Linked DNA regions of Drosophila melanogaster. The protein of the gene in region 1 interacts with the protein of each later gene in a pairwise test. Each region holds a gene or a part of one and is shown in the gene's direction. Other genes may lie near its edges.

Region 1 (7,248 bases):
AGCCGAAAGAAATGCGTAGCAAAATTCCAATGCCCAATAGAAACAGTTAACAATAAGAACATTTTGACCAAGTGTTTGATTATATTAACAAGCTGACTATTGAATTGAACGAAAAATTCGTAGGAAATGTATAATATCATTTAGGATAAGTTCTAAGTATGGTTTGAATATATATCTTAATTATTTCAATATAACTTTGAGTGACTTAAATTAAAATGTGATAATCTGAGACCCAAGCCTCGATTAGCCATAATTTCAATTACTGAAATTCGGACGTCAATGTGGGCAAGGTGTATTATTTATACTGTTTGGCGTACCTTAAACTTAACAAATCAAAACAAAAAGAGAGCAAAGAGAAGTGGAAAGCAATGAGTTAGAGGGCACAGGGAGAGGGAGAGGGGGTAAGGGGCGATAGAGAGTGGGGTACAAACCTGTTCCACGGGCCGCGTAACTTGTTGTTGTTGCCTGCATGGACGCCGAACTGGTGACTGTCGCGGGGGCGGTGGTCAGTAGCGGTACGGCCGAGGGTCCAGCGCCACTGGTTTTTGTGAATTTCAAAAGCATAGTTTTGGTCCGTCGTCGTACTTGTTGTTGTTGTTTTTGTTTTGTTTTGTGTTGATGATGCTGATCTCGTATTCCTTGATATCGTTATTGTTATTGCTGCTATCGATGTTTGTTGTTGTTGTTGTTGCTCGCCGGGAGAGCGTTAGCTGGCTAACGGGACAAAGTAAGAGTCCAAGTGGCCAACAAGGCTGCGACTTTTGCCTGCGTCAACGCTTCTTCTTCTTGCTCTTATTTGCCGTCGTCTTCTTCTTCTTCGTGCCCTGTCTATTTGTTGCTATTTTTAGCAACAACAATTCCTCCTCCTTTTTCAGCTCTTTTTCGCTGTCCTCTTACTCGCTCTCTCTCTCTCTCTCTCTCTTTCCCTCAGCCACAGCCGCTCTTTCACTGGATTCCTGCTCCTGACGTTTTTTGTTTTATCAATTATATTACAGTTACAGTTCTTGCCTCTCGCTCACTCACACACTCGCGCTATCTCTTTTTTTCTCTTACACGAGTGGGTGCCTGCACATGTGTGTGTGTGTGCGCCTTGCTCAATTGTTATTGTTGCGTGGCCAAGTGTTTTGCATTGTTTTTCTGGTCCCACTGTCACTTGCATTCAATGGCTTAACAATGTCACTGTTGCACGTTAACAAAAAAACACTATTTTGCGCACTATTTGCGGACGCTGTTTCTATTTGCTTCTTCTATTTTTCAACTTGTTGCACAGAGCTGCCAGACCGGCCACGTACGTTATCGACATTCCTAAGGGGAATATCGATAACAGGTTGGTGTGTTAGCTAATTTGATATCGTGTGGTGTATAGCTTGGGTGGAAATTCACCTTGAAATAATCAACACACCCCCACTAGTATTTTTAAATCTTTTAATCAAAAAATATATTTTTTATATTTGGGAAACAGATATTTATGCTTATTCAAAAGCACACAACTAGTTTGTGGTAGGTAGCAGAGCAGAACTAGCCAGGACTGCAATTCAAAGTGGGGAACTTGATTAGAAATTTACAACGGTACGTCATCGAGTTTTGATCAGCCATTCGATAGCAGTTTCGATTGTCAGTTCTATCGGTCGAGCGGGGACACTGGTTCGCACGTGTTGCGATTTGCGTGCATTGAGTATTTCTGTTTCTTTCGAGCATTTCTCGCGTGGGGGATCATGGGCAAATTCCGATCGAAGCTAAAGCGCAATGGCAAGGGAAAGACATGGAGCAGAGGCGAATCGGCCACCTCCAATCCCACCCAGATGAAGCACCGCATGAAGGCCAAATCGCGATTCTTTCAGCCCAATTTAAGTTTGGGTGAGTTCTTCCTTACTTGCCATCTTATGTTAGCACCTGTAACCAAATTCCTTACAGCTGCAGCCACGACCACCGGCCTCACCATGGAGGCGGTCCACAAGCATGAGCAGAGTCAGGCCTTTAATGCGGAAACCACAACGGTTAACGATGTGGCCGGCAGTTTGAGAAGTTTCAAACTGGATGACGATGATGACGGAATGTCCGGTTCCGGCACCGCTCCCACCGGCACCGCCCCCACCGGCACCATCAAAACCTTCCAGACCTTCGCCTCCAACTACAGCGGTTGCAGCAACACATGCTTCCAGAAACTGGTCACCAGCTTCCGGTCCTCGTCCGCTCTTCACAAGGAGATGCTGGCCATTCTGAGCGCCCTCACCGAAATAATCCGCGAGAACGGCGGTGGCGAGTCGTCTACAGAGTATTTCCTGCTGCTCATGGAGCAGATCGAGGCCGCTACCGAGGAACGGGACATTGTGGCCGGCGTAACACTGCTTGCCATGGGCATTAATTCGGTGCCGGCTCCGGTTCTCAAAAAGCGATTCGCCCAGACCGCTGACACCATGCAGAGACTGCTCCAGCGCTTTATGGAGTCCACTAACCAGTCGGTCATCCGACATGTAAGTGCAAAATGTGTTTACCAGAAAGCTGTTAAATACGTATTTAACGTCGATGTTCGTGTTTTTCCATTTACAGGTAATCGGCTGCCTTTCTGTCATTCTGCGCGCCCAGGATTACGCGGCATGGTCATACAGCTCGACGTTCCAATACTTTGATGCCATTCTGGCGTTCAGCATTCACTCACAGCCGAAGATCCGCAAGGCAGCCCAGCATGCAATTGCCTTAATTATTCACGGCAGCTGTTTCATGCTGCCGGCTATCAAATCAGATGACAATGAAATGGATGAAGCGGTTGAGCAGCCAAAGGTTAAGCATCATCCGGCTAGCAGTCGCGTGGCCAAGTTCTGTTTGGCTCAGTTCAAGCCGGAGGTACTGGCCAATGCACAGACGACAGTGCTGCACACTTTGGAGCTTCTCAAGGACACGTTATACGGTTTCAAGACGGAGGACATACGCAGTGTCTGCGAGCATCTGCTTTCCATTATGACGGCGGCCAATGTGCTGGTTAGGACGAACTGTTTCCAGACACTGTACTCCCTTTTCCTCAAAAAAAGCCCCAATTTAAATGCCTCACTCTGCGCCAAACTGCTGGCAGCGATACACGAGTACCGGCCAGACAAAAGCGACATCCGGCAGACGATCGCCTGGGTGACGGTCTTAAAGGAGGGCCACCTCCATTTGGCGACCATGCAGCTGGATCTTTGTATGCAGGCCTTGCCGCGTCTGATCGATGTCTGCACCACGGATCTTTGGCTCTCGGACCAAAAGGAGCTGGTTGCCGGTGTCTCAAATTGTATCAAGGAGCTGCTGCAAGACTGTGTTTCGCGCGCTTGTGCTACAGCGGAGGATGCACAGTGCAACAGGCAAAGTGTGTCCAGGATAATTGCTTCACTGCACAAGATGCTAAACGCTCCATTCGGAGAGATCTCCAGATTCGTGATCCTCATCTTCTCGTTCGTCTTTGAGGCCTGTGGAAAGCTATTCGGGTTGGTCTGCAATGTGTGCCATAATATTTAAATGCTTAATAATATTATAATGCTTTCAGTTCGGAACTCACACCCCCGCTGATGACAATCTGCAAGCGCTACGACACCCAGAGTGCACATCGTCTGCAGATCGAGCACACTGTGATCAGTGCCATCAAGGCTTTGGGACCCGAATTGGTACTAACAGCTATACCGCTTGCCGATGGCAAGGGCGTCATGCAGCTTGAGCGATCCTGGCTGCTGCCCCTCCTCCGTGAGGGAGCCAACGGTGCCAGCCTGCAGTTCTTCAAGGAGAAGATTGTAGCACTGGCCATGGACTGCCAACTGAAGTGGAAGGAGTTCGCCGAGGCGAAGAACAATTCTTCATCACACATTTACGAGCTATTGTGCTGCCAGTTGTGGGGCTTGTTCCCTGGCTTCTGTCGTCAGCCAAGGGATCCTGAATACTTGCGGTACCTAGCTCCCACTTTGGGTGCGGCTGTGGAAAAGAACCCGGAATTTAGGCCTCCCATTTACGATGGTCTGATGGAGCTGCTCGGTGACAACCAAAGTGCGGAATGCCATCAGGCAATTGGCCAGTATGCCAAGAACTTTTTGCCTCGCCTCTTCAATATCTATACGCAGAAACCGAATGGAACCTACGAGGCCGATCAGCGCAAGCGTGTTCTGGAAGTCATTCGTTTGTATATTTCCCGGGCGCCGGCTGATGTCCAACTGGAGCTCTTTGAGAACGCCCAAGAGCAATTGGCTGCCAGTGCCTTGGCCAGTTTCGAATACGACGCTTTCTTTGACATTAATGCTGCCATAGTGCGCGTGCAAACATGCAAGGGAATCAAAGCATATTTCGATAAGTACATGGCTCCCATTCTGAGGAACGATAAATCGAAATTGGTCGCCAAAGATGAGCAGAAACTGAAAAAGCAGCAAAGGAAGACCTACGAGTATGTACACTTGTTGTTAGTCATAGTCACACTGCAGTGTACTTATGAGCCCTTCTTATTTATAGACTACTTCGCGAACTGATGACCTCGGAGCTGCCATCATGCCAGAAGTTTACCCGCAAGAACAGCATTGTCCTGCAGCAAATCCTTCTCGATTCATTTAACACCAGCTGCAACGTTTGTCAGGCATCGCGTTTGCAGTAAGTTAAAGTGCTAAATGATCGCTAAAGTGTAGGCTAAACTATTATTTTTCAATCATCAGCTGCCTGAAGTCCCTGATAGACTGCCACAGCAATCTGGCGTACAACGATCAACTTGTGATGAAGGCCATTCCGGAGGCAGTGCTCAACTATAAGGAATTCTCCAATTACAAGGAACAGGTGGCCGAGCAGCTAATCAAATCTATTACTCAACTTTATCACGATGCCGGCAAGATTAACGACTTTGTTGATATACTGACGGCAGGATTTGCCGGCGATGAAATGCTGGTGACGAACACAATTTTGGCCTTTAGGGCTGTGCTCCAGCAGCAGGGTGAGCACTTGACAGTGGCCACTCTGGAGTTTGTCCTGCAGCAGGTCTCTGTTTTCCTCGTCCAGAAGTCACGCAAGCAAGCGGAGGCAGCCATTGCCTTTCTGATTACATTCATCAAAGTGATGCCCATACCACTGGTGGCCAATCACCTGGAGGCAATTGTGAGCACATCCGCCGACATTTAAATTAGGCACTTGAACCGAATAATTAGTTCTTTCCCCTCCTTTAGATGCGTTCCTTGTCGGCCATGACCAAGGATACGAAGCGATACTGCCGCATCCAGATCGGTTATTTGCTTAAGAAGCTCTGCATTCGTTTTAGCCCCGGGGAGCTGGCCGGCTTCGTTCCCGGCGATGACGATGTAATCCATCGCCGGCTGAAGATGATCCGCAAGCGTACGCGCAGGGATTTGCGCAAGAAACAGAACTTGGAAGCGCAGGAGGATAGCTCCGATGATGAGCTGGTCAGCGGTCTGCAGGAAAAGAGCTACACGTAAGCGTTTTTCATACACAGTAATTACCCAAATAACTAAAAAAAATCCCTTCCACAGCATTGATGATATGCTAGCTGACTCCGATTCGGATCTGCCCGAAGATATGGACGCTAAGGATGAGGCCGGAGCTGCAGCCGCAGCTAGCAAGCGTAGCAAGAATGCTAAGCAACAGAAGAGCACTTACATTCGCGAGGATCCCGATGAGATAGTCGATTTGGCCGATCTCAAGTCCATTGGCAATGTGCTGAGTAAGTTGAAGTCGTTTGAAAATCGCACAAATCATCACTTTTTTTGTTTCTTTGCCTTTGCCCCACTCCAGCCAGTGGCTCCGCTCAAACGGCCACCCCTGCCCAGAGTCAAAAGACGAAAGCTCAGCTGCCGAACGGTGGCTTCAAGACTGCCGACGATGGACGCCTGATCATCAGCGACAAGGCACTTCGTGGCCAGGGCGGTAACGATCAGTCCGATGACGACTCGGATTCCGATGCATCCATGGCGTATGGCACTGTAGCCAAGCAGCCCAAGGTTAAGCGTGGCATGGAAGACGATTCGAGCGACGAAGATAAACTGCAGCAGAAGCTAGTACCCAAGCGTGTACGCAAGGGTGATGATGCGATGAGCATGAAATCGGGCAAAACCACTGCCAGTAGTCGCTACACTGCCGGTGGCAAGGGCATTCATCGACAGCTGACAGCTGGAAACTCGGATGCCATGTCCGTGAAGTCAGGCAAATCCACCAGCCGCCCAGCGGGCAGTGAGTACGGCAGCAAGAAGGCCAAGGGTGATATGAAGAAGAGCGGAAAACTGGATCCATATGCGTATATACCACTCACTAGGAATAACCTGAACAAGAGGTGTGTATCCAAAATGTTTAATATTATTAATATACCCGTCCCTATCTAATACTCCATCTCTTTCGCCCCCAGAAAACGTTCAATGAATTCGCGAAAATTCAAGAGCGTATTGCGAGGAGCTGGCGCTGAAAATGGAGGAGCCGGCGGTGGCCGGGTGTCCAAGAAATACAAATAGGGCAGACGATTCAAGCCAACTGGCTAACAGGCTCGTAAAGCTATAGAGATATAGAGATGTATAATAACACTGGGATAGTGCGGTCTGTTGATAAGGAAGCTAAGACGTTGATGATTATTTCCCCTGTTACTTTGCTTAAATATATAAATATAACTTAATATATATATATGAACATGTGGAGACGTTGTAAATGCCACAGATAAAGAAAAACAGAAACAGAATAGTTATGTATTTTTTTTTTTTTTTGTTTTGATCTGCAAAGACTTTGAATAAAGAATTTTGAAAGCAACATAGTTCGATGCGTGGCAGAAAGAAGAGCAGTAACGTTAGATTAAATCCACACAAGCTTTATGTTCTTTAAAGATATAGTAAATATGACTATTTATTATCGCAAATGCCAGAGTCAAAATACAGATTGGTAGAATATTAGCCAATTAGGTTATTCTACAAAAGAGGAAAGTCTTCGAACGAGATAGTTGCGTCAAGAAGTTGCGTCATCCTGTCCGTGGTCAAACGCCGTTTTGAAAATCCTTTTCAATGTGGGTCTTGTTCCATTCGCCGTGCGGATCCAATCCAGTCATTGTCTCCTCAATGAAGTGCATCTTATTCTCGCTGTCCACCAGGACAACGGAGTGTGTACGGCTGCCATAGGCATGCTCTTCGATATGGACGTTTAGGGAACTCAATCCCTCGCCCCAGTTGGGCGCACGTGTCTTTAGCTCGTCGTCCGGCCAGAATTTGTGCTTGTTGCGGAGCAACTGCATCAGCTGGGCGGACAGAGTCTCCACGC
Region 2 (5,963 bases), on another chromosome or scaffold:
TATTTTTTATATGCATGGCAGAAAAGTTCACATATGATTCACATAATTTATTGTAGTGTACTTCGGTTTCGAAACACCAAGGTCAAGTTGGCACTTCCACAAATGATAAAAGAACCGAAGTGCAGGAGAATCCAAGATAGTCTTGATTTCCTGTTTTCTTTCAAGTGAAGCTGCTGCAGGTGCGAAAAAGTGGGGAAGATGTGATGGGGCTGCTGGGCAAACAAGTTATCGCCGCGTTTGTGCACCGTTTTACGAGGGAAAGCTTTTGTCTTTGGACACGATTAGTGGAGAAGCGGCAATTTGGGTGAAATCTTATCAATCAGCGGCGGGCATTGAAGCGTTCGCGGACGGAGACGAGAGCATCGGCAATTTAATTGCGGAAATAAAGGGGCAGGCAGGCACATTCCACACTGCTGACGGGACAAAGTTTGTTCGATGGATGATTAAGCCGCGTTTTCAGGTGGAGCAGGTGGGGCGGTGTTGGGCTGTATCTGGTTTTGGATAGTAACCAGTCACGCTACATGGAGCAATTCGAATCTCACGCCAAATGCGGCTCAGGATGGGCACACAGTGGGGGCGGGGCTGCAGCTTATATGCACCTGAATCTGGGAGAATCCTTCAGGCACTCCTCGAACTCGATGGTGGCGCGCATTTTGGCCACCACGCAAGCAGCACCTAGACTGCACTGCTGGCTATTTCGCTACGCTAATTGAGGCCCGTGAATCTTTGTTGGCCTGTTGCTGCTGCTCTGCTTTGCTTTGCTTTCCTTGCTGAAGTGGGGATTTCGATGCGCGATTTTCGAGGGCGGCTCTGGGAGAAGCTAATTGCGGGCAGCAGGAGATATGGTGATTAGTCGCATCCTTGGCAATCGACGGCTACACACGTTGAGCACTGGCCCTAATTAGCGAAACTCGCCAATTTACGCGATTCGGGGCCGAATTTACCAAATTTACACAGCGCGCAGAGACAACAAATTAAAACGTCTCACTTTCTACTAGAGCAGATCGGTGTGCCCGCACTCGCAGCGAAAACAAATCTAGCAGCGCGAATGGTCACACACTTTGGCGGGCTTATTTGCTTTTGCTCATATCTTTTAAAATTTTAAATGTATTGAATGCTTAGTGTTTTCCTTGTGCTGATTTTCGTTTTAAAACTCGATTAGTTACGAAGATTTCAATTCAAAGGCATAAAACAACGCACATTGACATTGTCAGCACGGTTTATCAGTGTTGGAAACTTTTGTAGCTAAGAAGAAGCTAATTAGGAACTTAAATTCCCTAAAAGAAGATACAGCCCAAAAAAGATTTGGGTTCTAGCCATAATCAATGTAGATGTATTTAAAGTACAAACGATGACAATTTTAAACACCAAAACAAGCAAATCCGTTTCAAGCTACCGCCAGCCAAGTCAAATCTAGCTACAAAACAGATCAGCTGACAGCACCGCTGGATTTTAGGGTGCCCGCCTTGTGCGACAAGAATCCGCGGCCAGTGCTGCACAAGTGCCATTTTTCATTTCATTGTTCTGTTCTCTTTCTGCTGGTGCTGTTTTGGTTTAAGTGCAATTATCCACACAAGTACGCACCGAAAACCGATGCACCTGCACCGTGCACCAAGTGTGGGAGTGCCCAGTGCCAGTTTCATTTATAAAACTATGAGTTTCGCACGGCAACCAGCGCAGCTGACCGACTGACCGATCAGAGTCTCACGTCCCCCCTCGCCTCATGTGTTTACCCCTTGTCCAGCGTTCTATTTGCGTTTCGTGTCCGCTTTAAATCGCCTCATTTGCATACAACTCGACGGCTTTACGTCACAACTCTTTAAAATCGGCGAAGTAGAGGAGGAGGAGTGAAACACGCCCATTCCCGGAGGAAGCATTAGACCGACCTGTTTGGAATCCAGAATGTGGAAGTGCCACAAGTGCGGCAAACCCGTTTACTTCGGTAATGCACCCACACACGAGCGCATTGCGATCCGTAAATAACTTGTAAATTATATTTATTTATGCCCCGCACAGCGGAACGTAAACAATCGATCGGCTACGATTGGCATCCGGAATGTTTGCGCTGCGAGGAATGCGGCAAACGCTTAAATCCCGGCCAGCATGCTGAGGTAGGAGGATCACCTGTTAGTTAGCCGATCATGTGATCTATATAAAGCCTTTTGTTTTCCTTTCAGCACAAAAGTGTGCCCTACTGCCATGTGCCCTGCTATGGCGCCCTGTTTGGACCCCAGTTGTTTGGCCACGGCACCCGGGTGGAATCGCACAAAAGCTATGGGGTGAAGGGAGCCCAGAAGCCAACCGGAGCTCAGGCCAATGGCCCGCCACTCCCACGTGATCACCTGGAGTCCAAACTTAAGGTGCAGAACGCAATACCCAGACATATCAATATCTCATGACTCACCAAATTCCCTTTTAATGGGCAGGTCTACAACCAATTCTACGACAACAAAAGCCTGGAGATACGTAGTCGTGAGGTCAACAACCGGTTGGTGCTGGAAGGCGCGCTTAGAGTTTACTGGGGCGTGCAGGGAGTGATTCATCTCAAGGAGGACGATGATCAGCGCATCTTAGTGCGCAAAAGGAACTCTTGCCGTGTGTCCAAGGCTGCCAATGTAAGCTGAATCTATAACATAACAAAACGTTATTTATACAATTGTACCCACAGGAAAGCAGTTCGGATAAGGAAAACGAAGCTAGCGAATCGCTGGCTCCGCCCACCACCACCACAGCCGAGGTCGATCAACTATCCACGGATGTTTCCCTTTCCGAGAGCATGACCTTCGACTCCTGTAGCCTGAACGAGATCTCCGAGTTGCCCACAACCCCAGAAGATGCCTCGGCCAACACCACAGCCAACAGCAAAGAGCAGACCAATGGTAATGTGTGCAACGACGACGAGGATACGACCACGACGGACTCATCTGGAACCCTGGTGGAGGCTCCTACTGCCAGCACAAGTTGTGTGTCCAGCACATTGCCTTCGAAGTTGGACCGTCTGGAAAAACTGGATTGGGACGACATAGACGATCTGCTGCAGGTAGAGAGACGTCACAACGACAAGGATCGCATTTATGAAACTATGCCTGTCAAACTGCCGTCGTCGCAATCCTCCAGCGACAGTTCGCCCAGCAAAACATCCACAGAGACCACTACGACCACTGAATCAAGCTCGACTCAATCGGCATCAACAAACACCAGCAGCACGGATGATTTTATGACCGCCACGGGATCGTTGACTGCCAACACCAATACGCAGAATACAACAACGGTGTCTACTACTGAGACCTCTCTGGATAACTTCGAGACTTGCGATGACGCTACCCTGAAGCCTATTGATTTCGAGGACTTTAAGCGTAGTGTCCACCAGGACTATGTAAATGGGGCCAACTCCTTTACGGAGCCCAATGAGGGCACCCTTAAGCGTAATCAACCAATTGATCCCTCTCGCATTCACGACTCCCTTAAGCTCTACGGCGAGAATTCAGCGATGAGCAAAAGCTTTAATTGTGAGCATGCATTGCGGTCAATAGATCCCACTTTAATCAACGACACCATGAATCTGCGCAGTAGTGTGGGCTCTCCTCACTCCGCACAGCGTCAGTACGCCTTACAAAAGAGTGGATCGGCCACAGTAACCAGCAGGGATCAAAAGAAGCCATATCAACAGGGGCGGCAGTTGTTCGAAAAGGGCATCAACCGCTCCAAATCGGGACCCAGCTGTTTTGTGTACTCCGACAGCGATGACGACGACGAGGCCACGCTGCGTCCCCAACGTATGGCCACCATTCGACGCAGCGACATACCTCAGCGGTACATACAAATCCAGATGGACTGTTATCCCAAAGAGAATGTGGCTGCTGCTAGCGAAGGTGAGTCAAGTCGGGCAGATGCTCCATCCATAACCAGTGGTGCAGCGGCCGGCGATGAGCTTACGCAAACCGAGGATTTGTACACTGCAAGCGAGGGCGTTGATGGTCCAGACGGAGATGGATCGGCTGGGTTGCATGTGACGGAAGATGGAGTTGTGCTGAGAAGACCTCCACGCACAGGAGCTTCTGCCATCAAGCGACGAAGTGGCAATCGTCGGTAAGTTACTGAAACTTTTAATGAAGAAATTGTGTTGTAATTCCAACTTCTTAATCAATAGTTCTCGTACCAAGCTGAAACGTCGGTGCTCTATCAATGGTCACTACTACAATCGGGAGACGTCGTTTTTCACGCCGCCCTACGGTTCTCAAATGTCAGTGTGGGTCTCCTCGATGGTGACCACCACTGAGGTTATCAACTTGGTGCTGGAGAAATACAAGGTGGACAGTTCGCCTGGCAATTTTTCACTCTTCATTGTTCGCGACAATGGTGAACAGAAACGTCTCAAGGACGACGAATATCCTTTGATAACGCGCGTCACTTTGGGACCTCATGAGGATGTGGCTCGTATATTTTTAGTGGATTCTCGCAAAACTGATGAAATCAGGCAAGTTATAACACTCCTTTTCAATAGAAGTTTGCTTACGTTTCTTTTGCATCGCTGCAGTAATGAAGTTGCTCAATTTTTGAATTTATCTTTGCCCGAGTGCCGTGCTATTCTGGAGCGCTACGACCAGGAACTGGCCCGCGAAGTGGCCAAAATAAAGGAAAGGTGGGTTTTAAAAAATAATTTTACATCCCAAGACTTTGCATTGAAAGAGAATTACTTTTCCGCAGATACGCCGAATTGCGACGTCGTATTGTCAGTCGCATGGAATCTCTGAAAGTGCATTTGTAAAACGTAAATGAAACCTCTGGCATAAGAGCAATTTTTTATTAGCCATAACATGAATGCGGCCAAAAAAGAAGTGTCGGCAGCAGCACAGCTAATAGTATTCACGTTTTTATACGAGATATATATTTTTATGTAGAATCTAGAGAAAATTACGAACTAGCAAACATTAGGCGCCCAGTGAACAAAAAGCAGCTGCTGCTCGTCGCAAAATACATATACATACATTACGTTTAGGGTTCGATTCTTCCCAGCCGAAACTAACAATCAATTCCAGGCATTTCCATTCGTTTAGAAAGCGTTTAAGACTTGTAACTAACCAAAAAATAATTATTAATCCACAACATTACCATACAGTTTTTTGTTTTATGTTAATAATCAATGTATGTGCTTTATGCAGTCACGTTAAAAGCGTTGTCATTCATGTATCTATTGTACAATGTTTAGCTTTTAAGCCGTGACATGAAGCACAGGTCCTGCTAGTAGCGTGTAGTTGAAAGCCATTTTATCGAGTCATTGAACAAATGTGTGAAAATCAATTTGATTAGAAATCGCAATGCCTGCGAAACAATAAGAATAACTGTGCACATACTTCATATTGCATAACATGGACTTGTTGATTGAAAATCATTTGGAAATCCAATAAAATGAAAATTTTACAACAGAATCGCCGCCTCTTTCGGTGACCAGCCAAGCGGAGTTTAAGGCCCCATGGTCGCCAACAAATTCCGGCAAGTAACGCGTCCCTAGTGCAAAGGGGCGAACCTAAAGGCGGCAGCAGTAGCAGAAAGTGTGAGCCGAATATTCAAAAAAGGCAGCAACCGGCGCCAGCCGTCCGTGCCCAAATGGGGATCAAGTGGAGGTGGACCTCTAGCCCCCCCCCCACACACACACACACACATACACACACTAGGGTGGGGGCAAACCGATGCCCTGTCCTGGCCAAAGCAGCCATCAAAGCACAAGTCAATGATGCCATTATAATAGAGAAACGACGGAGGAGCAGCGCGGAAATAGCGACGAGGACGAAAGTAGGCAAGCACTGGCTCACTCACATAATAAATGCACACCCCACAGCGGCACAGAGTGAGTGTGTGTGCGTGGCTATTAATTTGAAACTGACAGAGCCTACGGGTCTCCATTCCGGCTACAACGTGGTTGGGACTCCGCAACAACTACAGGACCGTGCCAGCGTTGGCCA
Region 3 (4,628 bases), on another chromosome or scaffold:
AATGAATTTCAACGAGCCCTTACTTCAGATCCCTGACTAGCCCAGAATATTCGTCAGTTCAGTTCCAGCTGTTCTACTGTACGGTTCTCTTGAAAGTCGTTACTTTTTTTTATCATAAAGCTGACACCACCAAGTTATCCGGTAAATATATTTCTTGTTTTTGAACAAGGCATCGTTCGATTTTAAACCTAATAGATCTGGCTTTTCTCCGAAAATTTTCGGCATCTGCGAAGATGTCGTTGCCACGCGTTTACTTCGATATAGCCGCAGGAGGTGAGAAGTTAGGTAGAATTGTGATGGAACTACGTTCGGATGTGGTGCCCAAGACGGCGGAGAATTTCCGGGCCCTCTGCACCGGAGAGAAGGGGTACGGCTACAAGGGATCACCATTCCACCGCGTCATCCCGAATTTCATGTGTCAGGGCGGTGATTTCACTAATCAAAACGGAACTGGAGGACGCTCCATTTATGGAAACAAGTTTCCCGATGAGAATTTCGAGCTAAAGCATACCGGAGCTGGTGTACTTTCGATGGCCAATGCTGGGGCCAATACCAATGGATCTCAGTTTTTCATTTGCACCGGGAAAACCACATGGCTGGATAATAAGCATGTCGTGTTCGGCAAGGTCGTTGAGGGAATGGATATCGTCCAGAAGGTAGAATCTTACGGTTCACAAGATGGGAAGACCAGCAAGAAAGTAATTATCGAAGACTGCGGAGCCCTCTGAAGGGTGTCAATACATAATAGTGCTGTCAATCACACATTTACACTATTACACTGAAATTATACTTTTCAAGAAAACTTTGCAAAATAAAAGGGGGTGCAAAAAAATGTATTTTGTCGGTTCAACTATTTACATCGCTCTCATATGTTACGCATTTCAGACCAATTCGTTGAATAATCCGGTGCACCCTGAACAGCCCAGTTCCCTGACTCATTTTCCTTTGATTTTTCTTTCCATTACTTTTAATTGACTCAATTTAGTTCAAGAGTTGCTCACATATGTCGCTTTTGATTCTTTCCACTCGATTCTCATTCTGTCTCCCATCACCTTTCCCTCAAGCCATTCTATCCACTTTACCCGAATGCACTTTGCAAATGTCTATTAAGTCACATACACTGATGAAAAAAAAGAATTAACCACCAGTAATACATATGTATATGTTTGGTAAAGTGCACTTTACTAAATACATTCAAAAACTCAAATTGAATCCATTATTTTTTAAATATATTCTGCAATATAAGTTTTGTTTAAACAAATATTATATTTGGAAGTTAGTATTTCTTTTCAAACCTAAAAACACCTGGCTAACTATGTTATACAATGTGTATATGTGTATGTGCATATAAGCCACTCAGCAAACAAAATTTTCTTTTCTCAAGTGCATGTAATACGAATTTCCAACACTGCTAAGTCACATTAGTGGAATTTTTCTATTGCGTTCGTTTTGCTTTGGGGCTCTGTTTTTTTGTATTTCTTTTCGTTATTTTTTCGGGCACCCAAAACAAGTCGCGGCTTCTGCCGACGTCGACCGAGGCAGCGGCAGAGGAGGGGCCGCGACTTGGCGCTGGCTTTTCAGCGCTTTCCTCTCTCAGATTGCATTTAACGCTTGCCGCGTTCACAACACTAGAAAAGCGGAGCAGCGCATCGAACGGTCGCCCTGTCTCTCACTCTCTCGCGCTCTCTCGCGCGGGTGTTTTGTTGTTGGGCAATGCAATTGCCAAGGAAAAGGAAAATGCAGCTGCTGCTGCTGCTCTCCTAAGCAAAATAGCCAAATTAAAAAAGGTTCGAAATTCGAGAAAATTAACCCAAAGTTACCTCAATTCGTGTGTTTTTTGTGTGTTACCTATTATCGATCGAATTCGCTTATCAGCTGTGTCAGGTGCCTTTGGCTCATTAACCGCTTATTTAAGGAAAAATGTGAAATCAAAACAAATTCGTTAATGACAGGGTCTGTTGTGAAAACCCGTAATCAAAGTAGCCTTGTTCGGCTCATGTTTCTAATTTTCATACCCTCTGGCAAATATATTGGTTGATTGATCTTAAATTGAAAAGTGCGGTTGAATCAGTTTGCCAAGTGTTTTATCGAAACATAAAAAATGGAAATCAAGTGTGGCATAAAATTGATAAATGATACAATAAATGGGACAAAATGAAAGAAAAAATAAAATAGCTTTAAACAATTCAAAGCAATTCTTCGTTATGGGGCGTTAAAAGTTGAAAAAACACTGACGGTAATTGATGAAGTAAAACGAAGAAAGATAAGGTGATCAAATTTGCAAAACCGGCACAATGTAAATTAATTGTGCTTTTTGTGTTGATTTTTTTTATTATTAATGGAGACAAGTTTAAGTATTTTCTTAAAAAGTTTAGTAAACTTAGGAAGATGAAAAAAAAAAAATAATATTGCCTCTTTAAAAATCAAGTCTTGTTTTCATTGCTTTCGGCAGTTTCTACATTCAAAGGGAATTAAATAAATCAAGGGCTTCCACCGAGAATAACGCATAGCAGTTCCAAGTTCATTCATTATACATAACTCGTACTTCTTAATTTCTTTTACTAGGCATTTTCCGTACCGTTAAGTTTGGTAGGAAAATATTCTTTCATTAGCGATGGTTCGTCAATTAGTAGGCATATAAATCTAACGGCACAGTGCCCTAACAGCACAGAAGACAACTAACCGGAACTGAAAACTAGCACTAAAAACCAATAAGTAAAAGGCCTAAGGTAGCCGCAATAACAAAAGAACGGAAAAGACCCTCTGATGACATCAACAAAAAGGGGGTGTACGAAAGAGATGGGACGAAATGGATGGAGATTACCATCCAATCCCGCATGCGTCCCGTTACTCTTGCTTTTCGGTTCGTGTCCACGCTTATTCACTTGCGCTTTTATTTAGTAATGAGTAAAACATATACATACATACGTATGTATGCATATATGAACATATGATGGGAGGCATTTTGGGAGCGGTTGGCTTGGGGTGACCGTATATAAATTCCACATAATTATGCGCTGTCCCTGACTCAAAAACCATATGTTCAAAATAAAGGAGGCGGGCGGATTCGGCGAGAGAATCACCCTCGGACATATGGCGAAAAACTTTTCCTTTGGGGGATCGGATCGCTCTCTTTCTTCGGTCCCTTGTCATTGCTCTTGTTTGTTGATTATTATTTTTTCCTATTTATAAAGATTGCGCCTCCCCAAATTCGCTCTCCCAGTCTCTCATTTTTCTCTCTATCGCTGGCGACTGCCTCGGTTTATTTTGCCCCTGAATTTCTGGTTCATTCAGTTTGCTTTTCGCGTTTCGCGTGCTTTAATCGAAATTTGTTTTTCTCCCTCGATTGTGGTTGTAATAAAATACATAATACACCATTTTAAATAATCGAAAAAATTAGCTATTCACTTTTAAAATTGAAAAATATTTGTGAGATCGCGGCACAGATTATTGAAGATCATAAAATCGGCAGGAAAATTAAAAATATTTTAAAGGATTGCATCATTAGTTTTTGGTTCTTTTAAGCAAAAGCTTTCAAGAAAGTTATAGAATACATAATAGTACATTAAAAATAATCAATGACAATTTTTTTTCAAGTTCTTATGTATATGATTCCCATATAATTGATGCAAAGTCTTTAAATATACATTTGTTTGAAATCATGAATATTTTATGTGGTACTCAGCATTCCTGATCCAATTTCGGCTAATCATTGTATATTTTACAACCTTTTTGTTGTAACTTGTTCACTTCACTTTGTTGCATGAAAAGTGCACAGCAGCGAAGTAAAATTTGCATTTAATGAGCTCCCCTCGTTCGACTCATCCCCATTTTCACCCCTTCCTTCGTCGACCATTGTATGCAAATCTTTGTGGAATTCAATTTTGCTGAAGAGTAGCTAATGATAATTTTCTATTATGCTGTTTTTGATTGCCTGACATGGGCGAGGAAAAAATGGTTGAAGAGATATGATAATCCAAAAATATTCAGCTGACAAGAAAGGAAAGTTTACTTCATTAGCAAATTAGTTTTAGTTGAATTGAAATCAGATTATTCGGTTACTTACTGTACTTGTATTGAAGGAATTGGATTGTATTTTGATAAGGGTTTCCAAATCATTTGTAATAAAGTTGTATTTTATTTATTTGAATGCTTATTTCGTAAATCAACTTGGAATCATTCAAAGCAAATAAAGTTCTTTAAAAAGTAAAATCTTTATCAGTCATGCCCTGCTTTTAATTGGCCCTCATATTGACCTTTATTTAAATTTGTATGTGATAACGTGAAAATGAAGCTTTGACAAGGGCACCTTAACTATACACGTCGCCGAACGATTTGATAAGACTAAGAATGATTCAGTTTACTAGACTACAAAAGTAAACAGCACGCCACAAATTCCAAGTAAAAGAAAAGCAAACTTAGCCAGCCATTGCATTTTCTGGTAATTAGAAACTAGGCGGGAATTCAAAACCTGAGGAACAAAATAACAATGAAAATAGGGAGAGGTTGGAAAATAGCTGTACGACGAGGATATGTAAAATTGTCTAGAATTCTGCTCAAAGTCTGAACAAAATAATTTTACGGTCTGTTGGTTCTAAAAAAAAAAGAAGAAGTAAAGAGAGGGTTGG

Evidence for each region. The genes of interacting proteins can lie anywhere in the genome.
Region 2: the proteins of CG2691 (region 1) and Rassf interact in a two-hybrid assay, tested with the Drosophila melanogaster proteins (one large-scale study listed by BioGRID).
Region 3: the proteins of CG2691 (region 1) and nuf interact in a two-hybrid assay, tested with the Drosophila melanogaster proteins (one large-scale study listed by BioGRID).

Annotation. Positions count from the first base shown.
Region 1 is NC_004354.4:13,618,773-13,626,020, reverse strand, and holds CG2691 (uncharacterized protein), read left to right. Parts: upstream 1-1,612; 5' UTR 1,613-1,715; coding exon 1,716-1,857; intron 1,858-1,914; coding exon 1,915-2,474; intron 2,475-2,550; coding exon 2,551-3,461; intron 3,462-3,520; coding exon 3,521-4,402; intron 4,403-4,467; coding exon 4,468-4,602; intron 4,603-4,664; coding exon 4,665-5,097; intron 5,098-5,165; coding exon 5,166-5,428; intron 5,429-5,486; coding exon 5,487-5,677; intron 5,678-5,748; coding exon 5,749-6,283; intron 6,284-6,355; coding exon 6,356-6,458; 3' UTR 6,459-6,745; downstream 6,746-7,248. Other genes in the region: Tango2 (transport and golgi organization 2), read right to left, coding at 6,968-7,248.
Region 2 is NT_033777.3:23,113,478-23,119,440, reverse strand, and holds Rassf (Ras association family member), read left to right. Parts: upstream 1-1,509; 5' UTR 1,510-1,902; coding exon 1,903-1,942; intron 1,943-2,016; coding exon 2,017-2,111; intron 2,112-2,177; coding exon 2,178-2,360; intron 2,361-2,426; coding exon 2,427-2,615; intron 2,616-2,668; coding exon 2,669-4,089; intron 4,090-4,150; coding exon 4,151-4,477; intron 4,478-4,537; coding exon 4,538-4,642; intron 4,643-4,707; coding exon 4,708-4,768; 3' UTR 4,769-5,427; downstream 5,428-5,963. Other genes in the region: CenB1A (centaurin beta 1A), read right to left, coding at 600-652.
Region 3 is NT_037436.4:14,218,150-14,222,777, forward strand, and holds the start of nuf (nuclear fallout), read left to right. Parts: upstream 1-1,592; 5' UTR 1,593-1,787; intron 1,788-3,290; exon of another isoform or gene 3,291-3,351; intron 3,352-4,628. Other genes in the region: CG7768 (uncharacterized protein), read left to right, coding at 234-728.